Linked DNA regions of Drosophila melanogaster. The protein of the gene in region 1 interacts with the protein of each later gene in a biochemical or structural test. Each region holds a gene or a part of one and is shown in the gene's direction. Other genes may lie near its edges.

Region 1 (3,757 bases):
AATATTTGCGCTGTATAGGAAAAAAAATTAGCGCAGGCAAATTAATTTTTCCCCCACTTTTTATGTTTCATAATCAAACTGGAGCAGAAAGGTCGAAATGCATCTGAATGCGCTCGTGGGCGGGGGGCGTGGCGGCGGATGCGACGACCGCTTGACAATTTGCGACTTGCCATGAAATCGCATTATTTGATCTAAGCCGCCGACGAGCAAAAAAGGAAATACAAAAATCTTCAAGCCGACTGCTAAACGAAACCAAATGGCGCTTTTTTTAACTGCTGCGTTAGAAGCAGAAGCCCAGGGGCGTCGTGCAAAAGGGGGCGGGGCAGTGGGAGCCGCGAGGAGCTGGAAGCGCCCAGATATGCGACATGTGTTGCGGAAATATTTTGCGAGCAAGAAAAGCAGCAAGGCGCAGAGTCAGGAAATATGCAAAAATACAAAAGGGCACTGCAAAAAAATGAGTGATTAAAGTTTTTCAAATATTATTCAAAACCAGTACCAGAGGCAGCTAAGTCTGTCGTCTGATTCGTATTTTTATTTAAAGAATAATATCAAAAACAAGTTTATATTGCGTGTTAAAAAAAAATACAACAAAATTAGGAAATAAATTGTCTTAGTATCCCAATAATGTGGCATACTTTTTTACAGTGTTCTTTGAATGGATCATTTACATACACGCGTCTCGCTCGGTTTTTATTGCTTCGCACCTACATATTTGGTTTACTTTTTTCGTTATTTATTTGTTGGTAGTTGACCATCGGTCGAAATAACGACGATTTTCATTCGTCGGCGATCGCACGTCTTTGCGTGTGTGAGTGGGAAAGATATGCTTTGAATTAGTGTGTGTGTGTGAGCGGTTAAACGAGTTGTTTTCTCGTTTTACTTGTTGTATCTTCAATTGCCTCGTTGGATTGCTTTGTTTTCTCTTTTTCCCAGCCAATGGGAGACAAAGGCGGGTTTTTACGAAGATCTTGAACGATTCACCAATAAATTGAAAATGGAGATTTCTATAGTTGCATAAAAAAAATGCATTCTGGCTAATGTATATAAATACAGCAATGGAAAATTAAAATCGTAGGCAAGTGCAATTAATGTGATTTATTTTGTCTATATTTCATTTTAAATTGCCAGCCCCAATATCGAATCGTTACACTCTTTTCACCCCTTTTTTTGTTATCATTTTCGAGTGATTGCTTATCTACCCTACCCCCACTTAAAAAGAAACACACCTTGGCACATACTCCCAAAAAAAAAAAAACACATTTTCTCATATATGCATACATAACTGGATCTGCTTCCTTTTTTTATGTCATCGTTTCTTGGGTTACACAGCCGGAAAATGCACGATGTGAGGGTAAATGGGGAAAGCGGTTGGGCGGACTAATGGAATTCACACGTGTTTTGCTTTATTCGTATTGCTGCAATAAAAGTATACGTTTCAGGTATTTCGATACATCTGTGTAACATCAAAATTGGCATGCTACCTATAACTGCAAGACATGCCAATGAAATCCATTTTCAATTTCTATTTACACGAGAATTTGGAGCACAAGCCTGTAAAAAGAGTTAACAACTTTTCTTAAGAACATTGCAAATTAAGACATAAATTTTATTTACATATTATTGAGTTATCAAATTTGTATATTAGTATAAATATCATTTCAGAATGATTTTTTTTTTTTTGTATTGTTTATTGTATTCTCTTTGAAAATAAAATTAAGCAGATGGGCCTTTGAATGCATAATTCAAAAACTTTCAATAACTTTAGATATTTTCAATTGCATTTCTGAAATAAGGCGCCACCTTTTGTTTCGGGCGCCACCTGGATACCACTTTCGCCAACTCATCCGCTAGGTGGCGCAGCTCAAAAATATTTTTCGTCCATCTGGCAGCACTGGGTCTATGTAAGAACTAGTGTGCCCATATAACAAAAACAGCGTTGTCAACTTGGCTATTTCACAGCTTTCCAGTTACTCGAACTTTGAACTTATGGCTAGCTGCAAGGATATAATTTCGTTTTTCTTTTGATTTTCCAATACTCTTGCGCTATTTTCTTAATGTGGTACTTCGAAACCAACTTTGGACTATCTTAACTTAGTATATGAATCACAGTTTTTCACAATTACATATCTTCTAGACATTCGCTGAGGAGTAAATACCAGATGGTAATTTTCTTCATTATCGGCGCGGTCACACTGCGAATATCAAGATGGCGTAAATTTGTAAAAAATCGTCGAAATCTATGTGAAATAGCCAGAAAAATTGAAACGAAAGCGCAGCGTTGATGCAAAACGTAAGTGGTCAGTAGCGTTTCGGATCGACAGACCCGTTTGCGAGCGAAAAAGCGGCGGTTACCACGCGCAGGAAAACTCGAATTTCCCAACAGCATTTCAGTGCTCATTGAGAGTGCGAGTGTGTGAGTGAGTGCCCTCGTCTTTGTGTTGGTGTGAAAATGCTGAAGCAGGAGGGATAGCAACGTGCTCGCGGTAGAAACCGTGCGAGTGCGGGCGGGACGACTAGTGTGCACGAATCTATTGCCAGGGCAAACGACTCGCATAAGTTTGGTTTTTTTAATAAGAGTCCGAGTTCCGTTTGGTTTCGTTTAATTTTCTCGAGTTGATTGGCAACAAGATGCTAATCAATGTGGCCATAAAATCAGAGAAGAACAGCATAACCGACTCGAAGATAAACGATAAAAATAACTGAAATATGGCAGCAATGCAGTATTATTAAAATTATTGCATAAAATGCGCTTGCGTGTGGCCCCAAAAAGTGCGACTGTGTGCGTGTGTTTGTGTGCGACTGTGGCAACTACAACAAAAACAACGTCTGGGCTCTAAAACAAAGAAAATGAAAATTATTGTGGCAGAATCAATCCAATTAAAAAATTCGATTTCGATTTCAGTCGAATTAGAAGAAGGAAAAGCAGCGTCGCCAGCAGAGGAAGTGGGCAAAGCGGAATAGGAAACAAGGAATATAAGAAAAACAAGCCACGGTAAGTGCGGAATTTGTTCCACTGTGCGTTCAAGTTTCCCTTCTCCACCCGCTATCGGCTGCTCCTTATCAGCCCCGTTATTCGCAGTGCATTCGTGGAGTGCCGTTAGTTTTCGGAGGCCATTAGCGTTTGACAATTAATTGCAAGTTTCCTTCCCCTTCTGAGGTTTCCCCGTTGGTTTTGCTCTGGTTTTTGGTTTTTCCATTTGCTCTTCCCTGTTTACTTAAGCTTTTTACTTTTGTGGCGCCTGCTGGAACAACTGTTTTTTGTATCTTCTTTGTTCTCCAGTGCGTTTTTTTGCGGAAGCTTTTCGGCAGCCGCCAACGCAACGTGCAGCTGTTTTGCAATTGTAATCAATTCGTGTTTACCCGCTGGTCCGAAACAACTGCTGGATACCCTGGGAAATATTTAGTTACCAATAGGAAAGACCGCGTTTTCCCTGCTAGCCTTCCAGTAAACAAATTAAAGCTCCTAAAATTAATACCACATTTCAATTTGACTTACAGTGCTTATACAGTGATTTCTTTCTGTGTAGAACATGGGAGATACAAATAAAAAACGGTACATTTCGGTTAAATAAATCAAAGCCAAGGCGAAAACAACAACAAACACAGGCAGGTTTTGAGGTTAGAACCGCAGAGTGAGTGATAAAGAGTCGGGAAAAGGAGGAGAGAGAGAGAGAGAGAAAGAGAGAGAGCGATCGAAATGCGTGAGCGGTAAAAGAAAGCGCACAGAATGTGGGAAAGAGGAGTGGGAAGGGGTTAG
Region 2 (3,757 bases), on another chromosome or scaffold:
AAAAACAGAATTTTTTTTTAAAGAAAGGATGTGGCTTTCTTAATGTTCCTTATTATTATTGAAATAAACTGGGTATACAAACTTTTTGAATCTTTTATTTTATATTATAACCACTACGAGTACACGGGCGAGAAGGCATTAAAGTATAGTAACATAATATAAAATATACTATGGTATTTATACAAAAAATTTTGTCATAACAAATATTTGTTCGGTATAAAATATATGTACATATATACATACGATGCAAAGTATATAACGGCCACAAACTGCCGAAGACTGTCACACCCTTTTAAAAGTGACTTTTAAAAGTGATGTACCAAAAAAAAGTCATACCCACTTCGAACGATCACAAATTACAAAACCCTTGGAGGTTTGCAAAATACCTCTTTTTGAGATTAAATATATTATCAGTTTATTTCTTCAAAAACACCAAAAATTATCAGTATAACTTCATCACCTACCCATTAATATAAAACTTAACTAGTTAAAATCACCTTTAAAGACGGGGTTAAAAGACAGATGCCACCAAAAAGTACATATGAATATTCTTGGACAGCCATATTCACTGAATATTAATGGCATAATGAAAATAATTATGCTCTCCACTTTATTCGATAAATTTTACTAAATTTGACGACTAATTATGTAGCTTTATCAAAACTGTGGCTTGCCAAAGCTATCTTGTACTAGGCACAATTATATTTAATAGTTCAAGTCGCTTTTTTTTTTAATTACACGCGTTATGAACAAACAAGTCTCCGAAATTGTATTTTTCTTTAAGTAGTGTGTCTTTACTATTAAATACCTTTTTCAATAAACACAGCCAAAATTACTAATGCAGTTCGGAAATAGACGCGTTTCCATCATTAAAGTAGAACATTGATTGACATGAATTTATAAACTTTGTTATATTGCTTTGTTTAAAACATTGTCGTTATACTCACCTAGATCGTCTTTAGACCGCAAAATGTCGTCTAGGTTAAAGCCGTATATCAGATAAAAGAAATTGATTGACCCTAGCCGAATCAATCTAGTTATGCCCGTACGTAATATCGTGTCGGAAATTATAAATCCAATTTGGTTCAAGACAGTGTTGTTGAATTGACCAATACAGAACTAAGGGGCGAAGTGTTGCAATCGAAATATTAATTTTCAAAATTTATAAACAAGTATTTAAGCGCTGCCAGAAGTAACATTTATTTAAGCATCAACATTGCTATAACCACATACCCAAGGGGTTGGAAACATTTTAATTGTTGGATTGTTAGATTACCGAGTCTACTACCTTATTAACATCATATACTATTTAATGAAACTAGTATACCCAATATACCCATAAGATAGGGGTAAAAATTCGATGCATTAAGTACACTGAGTGCAAAAATACTGTGTCGCAAATATTACACCAAACCAGTCTTGATAGGATAGAAAACAGTTATGTATGTTTTCATCAAGAATGCTATTCGCAAGGGCAAGGCTATAATAGATAAATACGACTACAAATACATGTTTGTATTTTAATATACTGGATATACTGGGTATAATGGGTACAAATATCAACGAGATAGCCAAAATCAAGATTGAATCGGGTGTACAAGCTACTGTAAGATTAATCTATATATATATATATATGTATGTGTGTATATGTATATAGAGATAGGCGTTGCCAATAACTTTTGCGTTTTTTGCTTAAAAATAATATTGTATCGCCGAGGACAAAAATTACCCACTGAGAGACACAAACTACTAGCGTAAAAATATCTATATTAACAGCACTGGCATCGAAAAGTATCTTAACTCACGTACGAGTATATGTATTGTGTGGCCATCTTCGATCTGCCCGCCTTCGCCGACTGTTCGTGATCCGTAGGTACACACAGACATTTAAATCACCAATGCACTTGTTACTGTATTGTATTTATGTTTGTGAACCTACACGTATCTATGTAGAATCTGTACAAGTATCTGTGTTTGGACAATGGCATGTGTGAGAGGAGATCCGAACTGCTCCATCTAAACTAACGAAGCATTGCAACAGCTAGTGTTAATGTCGCTCAGTCCACTCGTAAGAAACATAGGAATAAGACGCAGCATTCAAAAAATATTGACTTGTCTTACAAAACTGATTTTCATTGTTCGCTACTTAATATTTAGTGATAAATATATTACTTCGGGACTGATAATCTTATGAATATACGTGTGAGATTTGGCGATACCCTTCATTACTTAGGAAGCCGAGCGCATAAGCTCACACCATTATAATATTTAAGTGATATGAATATTAAATATTAAAATTTAAAACCAACTTTTTAATCAAAGAGTTTCCTTAAAATTGTTTAAGTTGCCGATCAAAAGTGGAAATTTATGCGTGCCGTTATTTGAAATACCAATCTTTTGAAAATGTTTACGCCGACGGTTAATATTATTTAAAAGGATAATTGAATTTATAAAACGACGTCATTCTTGTTGTGGACTAACTTTAATGAAATGGACGCCTACGCGTTACCTACATATTTTCCTCTTGCGTAAGTTTTTATTTGCATATTCGAGAAGTAAGCCTTACAATAGAAAAATATCTACATTTTTGTTTAAAACGAGGAATTTTAAGATTACAGTCCATGAAATGTTTAGAAATGTGTAAGTTAAATAATAACAATTAAATAATAATAATTAAATAATTAAAAAAATAAAAAATAACAATAATTATTGTTATTATTATTATAATAATTATATATAATTACATATAATTATATATATATTATATAATTATTGTTATTATTATTATAATAACAATAATAATAATAATAAAAATAATAATAATAATTTTAATAATTATAATAACTATGGTAACAATAAAAAAGAATAATAATAATAACGATTAACGGGTATAAAAATGTTTATTATTATTATAATTACTATTATTATAATTTTTATGATTAATCAATAAATAATAAACATTTTTATACCCGTTACTAGATTCGTTGAAATGAATGTAACAGGCAGAAGGAAGCGTCTTAGACCATATATAGTATATACATACATGTATATTCTTGATCAGGATCAATAGCCGAGTCGATCTTGCCATATCCGTCTGTCCGTATGAACGTCGAGATCTCAGGAACTATAAAAGCTAGAAGGTTTAGATTCAGCATACAGAGACAAAGACGCAAGTAGCCATGCCCACTCTAACGTCCACAAACAGCGCAAAACTATCACGCCCACACTTTTGAAAAATGTGTTGTTCTTTTCACATTCTGATTAGTCTTTTACATTTCTATCGATTTCTAAAAAAAAACTTTTTGCCAACGCCCTAAAACCGCCCAAAACTCCGACACCCACATTTGTAAAAAATTGTTGGGAATTTTTTTCATAAATTTATTAGTTTATTATTTATTATAAATTTAAGTTTATATCGATTTGCCGACAACATATTTTAATTTTTTTTCTCATTTTATCTTTTATCTATCGATATCCCAGAAAAATTGTGCAATTTCGCATTCACACTAGCTGAGTAACGGGTATCTGATAGTCGGGAAACTCGACTATAGCATTCTCTCTTTTTGAAATTGCGGACGTGCCCGTTTCTGCGGTTAAGAGCGAGCGTGGAAAAAATAATTTTTAAATATCGATAGAAGTCGTAATCTAATTTTGAATTTAAAACGCTGCATTCAAAGATATTGCTATGTTAACATCGAAGCTAGCCAAAAGAAAATTATGTTGGCGTTTACATAAAAATTATATAATAATAAATAGT
Region 3 (3,757 bases), on another chromosome or scaffold:
TTGTATCTCCGTTTGTGCTTACAGTTCAACGCTGGGACGGAATTGTGGTGCCAGTAATGCCACCTGATGTGCTACGTCCATCCTCTAATCGCAATCCATATTCATGGGTCCACAGGTCCTCGGACCTACGCCACTTGGACGTTGAAAGGGTGGGCCTTGGGAACTCGGCTCTAATCCCGCTCACAGTCCGACCGACACTCACCCGAAATCACCACCCGGAATCCGATTAGCGGCAATCAAATGAAATCACAGCACATCAAAACGCGACGGGGAGTGGCGAAGTGCGGCAAGTCAACAGTCGCAGCATCAAAATCAAATTAGCAGCAGTTTGGTGGCTAATTCGAACGCACTTTATCATTTTCGGGCAGGCGTCTGTGACTTTGTGGCACGTGTGTGGCCGCGATAGATAAGAGCGAGCCCCAGCAAATGCCAGCAAACTCCGGCTAGCTTGGGCAAACACCACACACGTGGCCACAAAGGAGCTGCGTGTGGAGTGGGTGCCGGGTCAAATGGATTTTCACACCCACTCGACGTCGGCAAAGCCGCCAATTAATAGAATTCAATTATTCAAAGCCACCGCAGGCCGATGGGACGGCTGATAAGGCATAAAGACATCCTTGGGCACTTCGATCGGATTAGGATAATAAAAAATGCTCCGAAAAAAAAAGAAGTTGTGGGGTCCATAAAAATATGCTTTTATGAGGGGGTAGCTAAAATCATTTCCTATTTATCAGATGCCTCAACTTTTAACCCTTCAATTGCGAAGACTAAAAGCCAAATTCAATGCACAGAAATTGCAAGTAATAATCATTTGTAACTGCATAGCAGTAGTATCAGCATCGAACCGAACCACTCGACCGCTCGGAGTTCATCAACCCCTCGTGGAAAGACGGGGAATCCCCTGCTGGCAGGTATGTGTAACGCCACCTGTGGGCCACAGCGCGCAACAGCCAGCTGGGCGGAGGCGGAAAAGCCAGGGAAAATCAGCTGTCGCTATCATCCCACTCCGTACGTGTTTCAGCGCACGCCGCGCACACCTGCCCAGGTAGAGCTTCCACGGGACAAACGGGAAACAGAAGCCCCCAAAAGCTTGGCGCCACTTTCAACTTTTCATCCGTGCTAGAGAGCCGAGCTGCTAGACCGATGCACTGCGTTGACTGCGGACTGGCGCTCTGGTGCACTGCTGGCCGCACTTGGACGATGACCAGGTGGGTGGGTGAGTAATGCCGTTGCGAAATGCCAGTGCCAGTGCGAGTTCGCACAATTCATGGTGGGGCAGGGACGGGTCCGAGTGCAAAAAGCGTCCGAGAAAGCCGTAGGCAGTGAAAAGCCGCCGCTCACGTGGCGAACTGCGTGACTTGGCCAGCAAATCCGCCGCCCAGCCGGCTCCCCGGAAAACACCCCTCGGAAAACGTGCTGCCAGCCGCCCACCAGGCAGCCCCAAAAAGGCAGGGGATTCCATAGCTTTCCTTAACCTGCAGTTGGTGCGTGGGGCTTGGATTGACACTTGGCATCGGCAGTGCCATGTAACGTATCCCACAGCATAGATAAAAACCAAAAGAAACTAGTATTCAATAGAAGCTATGAAAAAGAAAGATATCCAACATTATAGCAATCTATAAATGGGGTTTCTTGCTATGGAAAAGGGAGTCTTTGGCATTCCAATTACTTGCTTTTGTTGTTCGCGCAAAAGCTTCGCCCAAGGGTTAATGTTTGGGTCCGAGTATCTCAGCCGACCAGCGATTTCCCGAGCGACTGCGATTCCCAGCGATTCTCAGCGACGGCGGAGAGCAGCGAGTGAGTGTGAGAAAATTCTGGGAATGCGAGTGCACGGGGGCTTATACACCGGAGCTTGCGATGCGAGCACTAGTGTTCGTGCGAATTTAGAGCCAGAAGGTCGACAACGCGTTCGTCGCACAGTAGAAAGTATTGCCATATACCAAATAAATCGCAACAACGACCTGTCGAATCACGCAAACAAACAGCTTCGTTTTTTTTTTTTTAATTTCGACCAGAAACAAACCGTTATTCTTTGGTGCCAGTGTTAGTGTCAAGTGTATCGAGCTGAGTGACATATAGCCACAGCCAAAAAGTGAGACCATAAGTGAGATTCCAAACAGAAGGCAGCAGCAGCCTAATCGCAGCCTAATCGCAAAAAAGTGCAGCTGGGTGAGAGCGAGAGCGAGTGTGTAAGTGCAATTGTCACGTTGTTGCAATAAAGCTGCAAAGAAAAATCTCAGCAAGAGGCGCTAGATAGACCATTATCATATTGCCAATACAAAACAACGCATTGGGCAGGCAGCTTACATAAATAACTCGGTTCATAACGTCCAATGGCGCACTTACACATATGTACATATAGTGTTTATTAATAAGTGCACGTTGCACACCGAGCAAAGCGTAAACAAAAGCCCACATCAAAATACCTGACCCTACCGAACAATGCTCCGGGAATGCCCCACCACTTCCTTCCTTGCAGTGCCAAACAAACATACTCTGGCCGCAGAATACGCATACGCAACGTGGTGCACCACTGCAGCCGCTTGCCTTCCGGTCACCTGGAGTGCAGTACTGCAGCACACTGCGCCTACGTGAAGTGAACTCATTCATATATGTAGCTACATAGCTCTAATCGATGCCCGGCATCCAATCTGGGTCAGAGCATATTGCGCATACGCAGCGTGTTCCCTTTTGGGCATTGCACCTTGGTATTTTCAGCTTATTTGCTGCACACACGCCACGTGGGCGCAGTAATTTCTGGCAAATTTGGAATGTCTATTAAAACCCCTACGATTTGGATAGCCGCAGTCGCAGTCGCGTTACACAAGCTAAACAGAGTACCACCATTAATAGCTCAACGTTCCCATTCGTGCCCCGAATTTTCCCACAGTCTTTCCCAGTATGTCTTGCCCCCGGGTTATGCGACTGTTATCCATGTCTGTCGCGCTTCCTGTGCTGCATTATCTAACATCCTCGGAATGACGCACGACCAATGTAATCCAGCAATCCAGAGGCATCGCGGCGGATTCGATTCGACCAGTTGGCCTTCTTGCTTTGCTGCGTCAAAGTTCACCCACATATGGGATGCGAACTGGGTTAACCAGCGAGTTACACAATCCTTGGTGGGTATAAACTGAAGGATTTGGGCAGATTGAGCAGTCGGTTGGAAGCCAGTTTGTTGGGCAAAAAAATGGTATTATCCAATGGAATTTTTCACCTTCTTTGGAATTCTTTCTTCTTGAATTCTGGGCCGTCGAAACAACTATCAGCTTGTTTACTTGGCCCATTTGGTTATCTTTGCTTTTAATGGAAACTCTGAAGAGCCTGGAATGGGGTCCACCCTAATGCCTGTGTGTCTGTGTAGTATTTTTGGGTTTAGTTGATTCAGCCAAATCGGAGAGAATGAACCTGGGTCTTATGCAATCGCTGAAACCGAACTCCTTGCCGAATTGAATGCTTGCTATATGCACCGATTACGACATAGTGGTGCATTGTGAGAAATATGAGTTCTTCGCTGCGTTCTTTTTTTGTAATTGCAAAATTGCTGAAAAGAATGTGTCTTCTACTGAGGTACAGGGTACATGGTTCTGAACTACACACTACACGTATCTAAGTATCTAAGTACGTATCTGCGAATCTGGAGCCGGGATGCATTGCGACTGCATAACGACATCCGTTGGCGGAGCGGCAGAGGCAACGCGAGAGCAAAAGCACATCGCACTGCACGTGAATGCAGCGTCGCGCCGTCTCGCTCTCG

What was found.
Region 2: of the proteins of dco (region 1) and ci, one has a biochemical effect on the other in vitro, tested with the Drosophila melanogaster proteins (one study listed by BioGRID).
Region 3: of the proteins of dco (region 1) and per, one has a biochemical effect on the other in vitro, tested with the Drosophila melanogaster proteins (4 studies listed by BioGRID, with this or other methods).

The regions. Positions count from the first base shown.
Region 1 is NT_033777.3:31,059,610-31,063,366, reverse strand, and holds the start of dco (discs overgrown), read left to right. Parts: upstream 1-2,156; 5' UTR 2,157-2,290; exon of another isoform or gene 2,291-2,902; 5' UTR 2,903-2,992; intron 2,993-3,757. UniProt on the Drosophila melanogaster protein: Serine/threonine-protein kinase which is involved in the circadian rhythm pathway, viability and planar cell polarity.
Region 2 is NC_004353.4:54,602-58,358, reverse strand, and holds the start of ci (cubitus interruptus), read left to right. Parts: upstream 1-2,027; 5' UTR 2,028-2,490; coding exon 2,491-2,528; intron 2,529-3,757. UniProt on the Drosophila melanogaster protein: Has a dual function as a transcriptional activator and a repressor of the hedgehog (Hh) pathway. The full-length ci form (ciFL), acts as an activator (ciA) while ciR, its C-terminally truncated form, acts as a repressor. Involved in segment polarity.
Region 3 is NC_004354.4:2,683,712-2,687,468, forward strand, and holds the start of per (period), read left to right. Parts: upstream 1-1,868; 5' UTR 1,869-2,189; intron 2,190-3,757. UniProt on the Drosophila melanogaster protein: Essential for biological clock functions. Determines the period length of circadian and ultradian rhythms; an increase in PER dosage leads to shortened circadian rhythms and a decrease leads to lengthened circadian rhythms.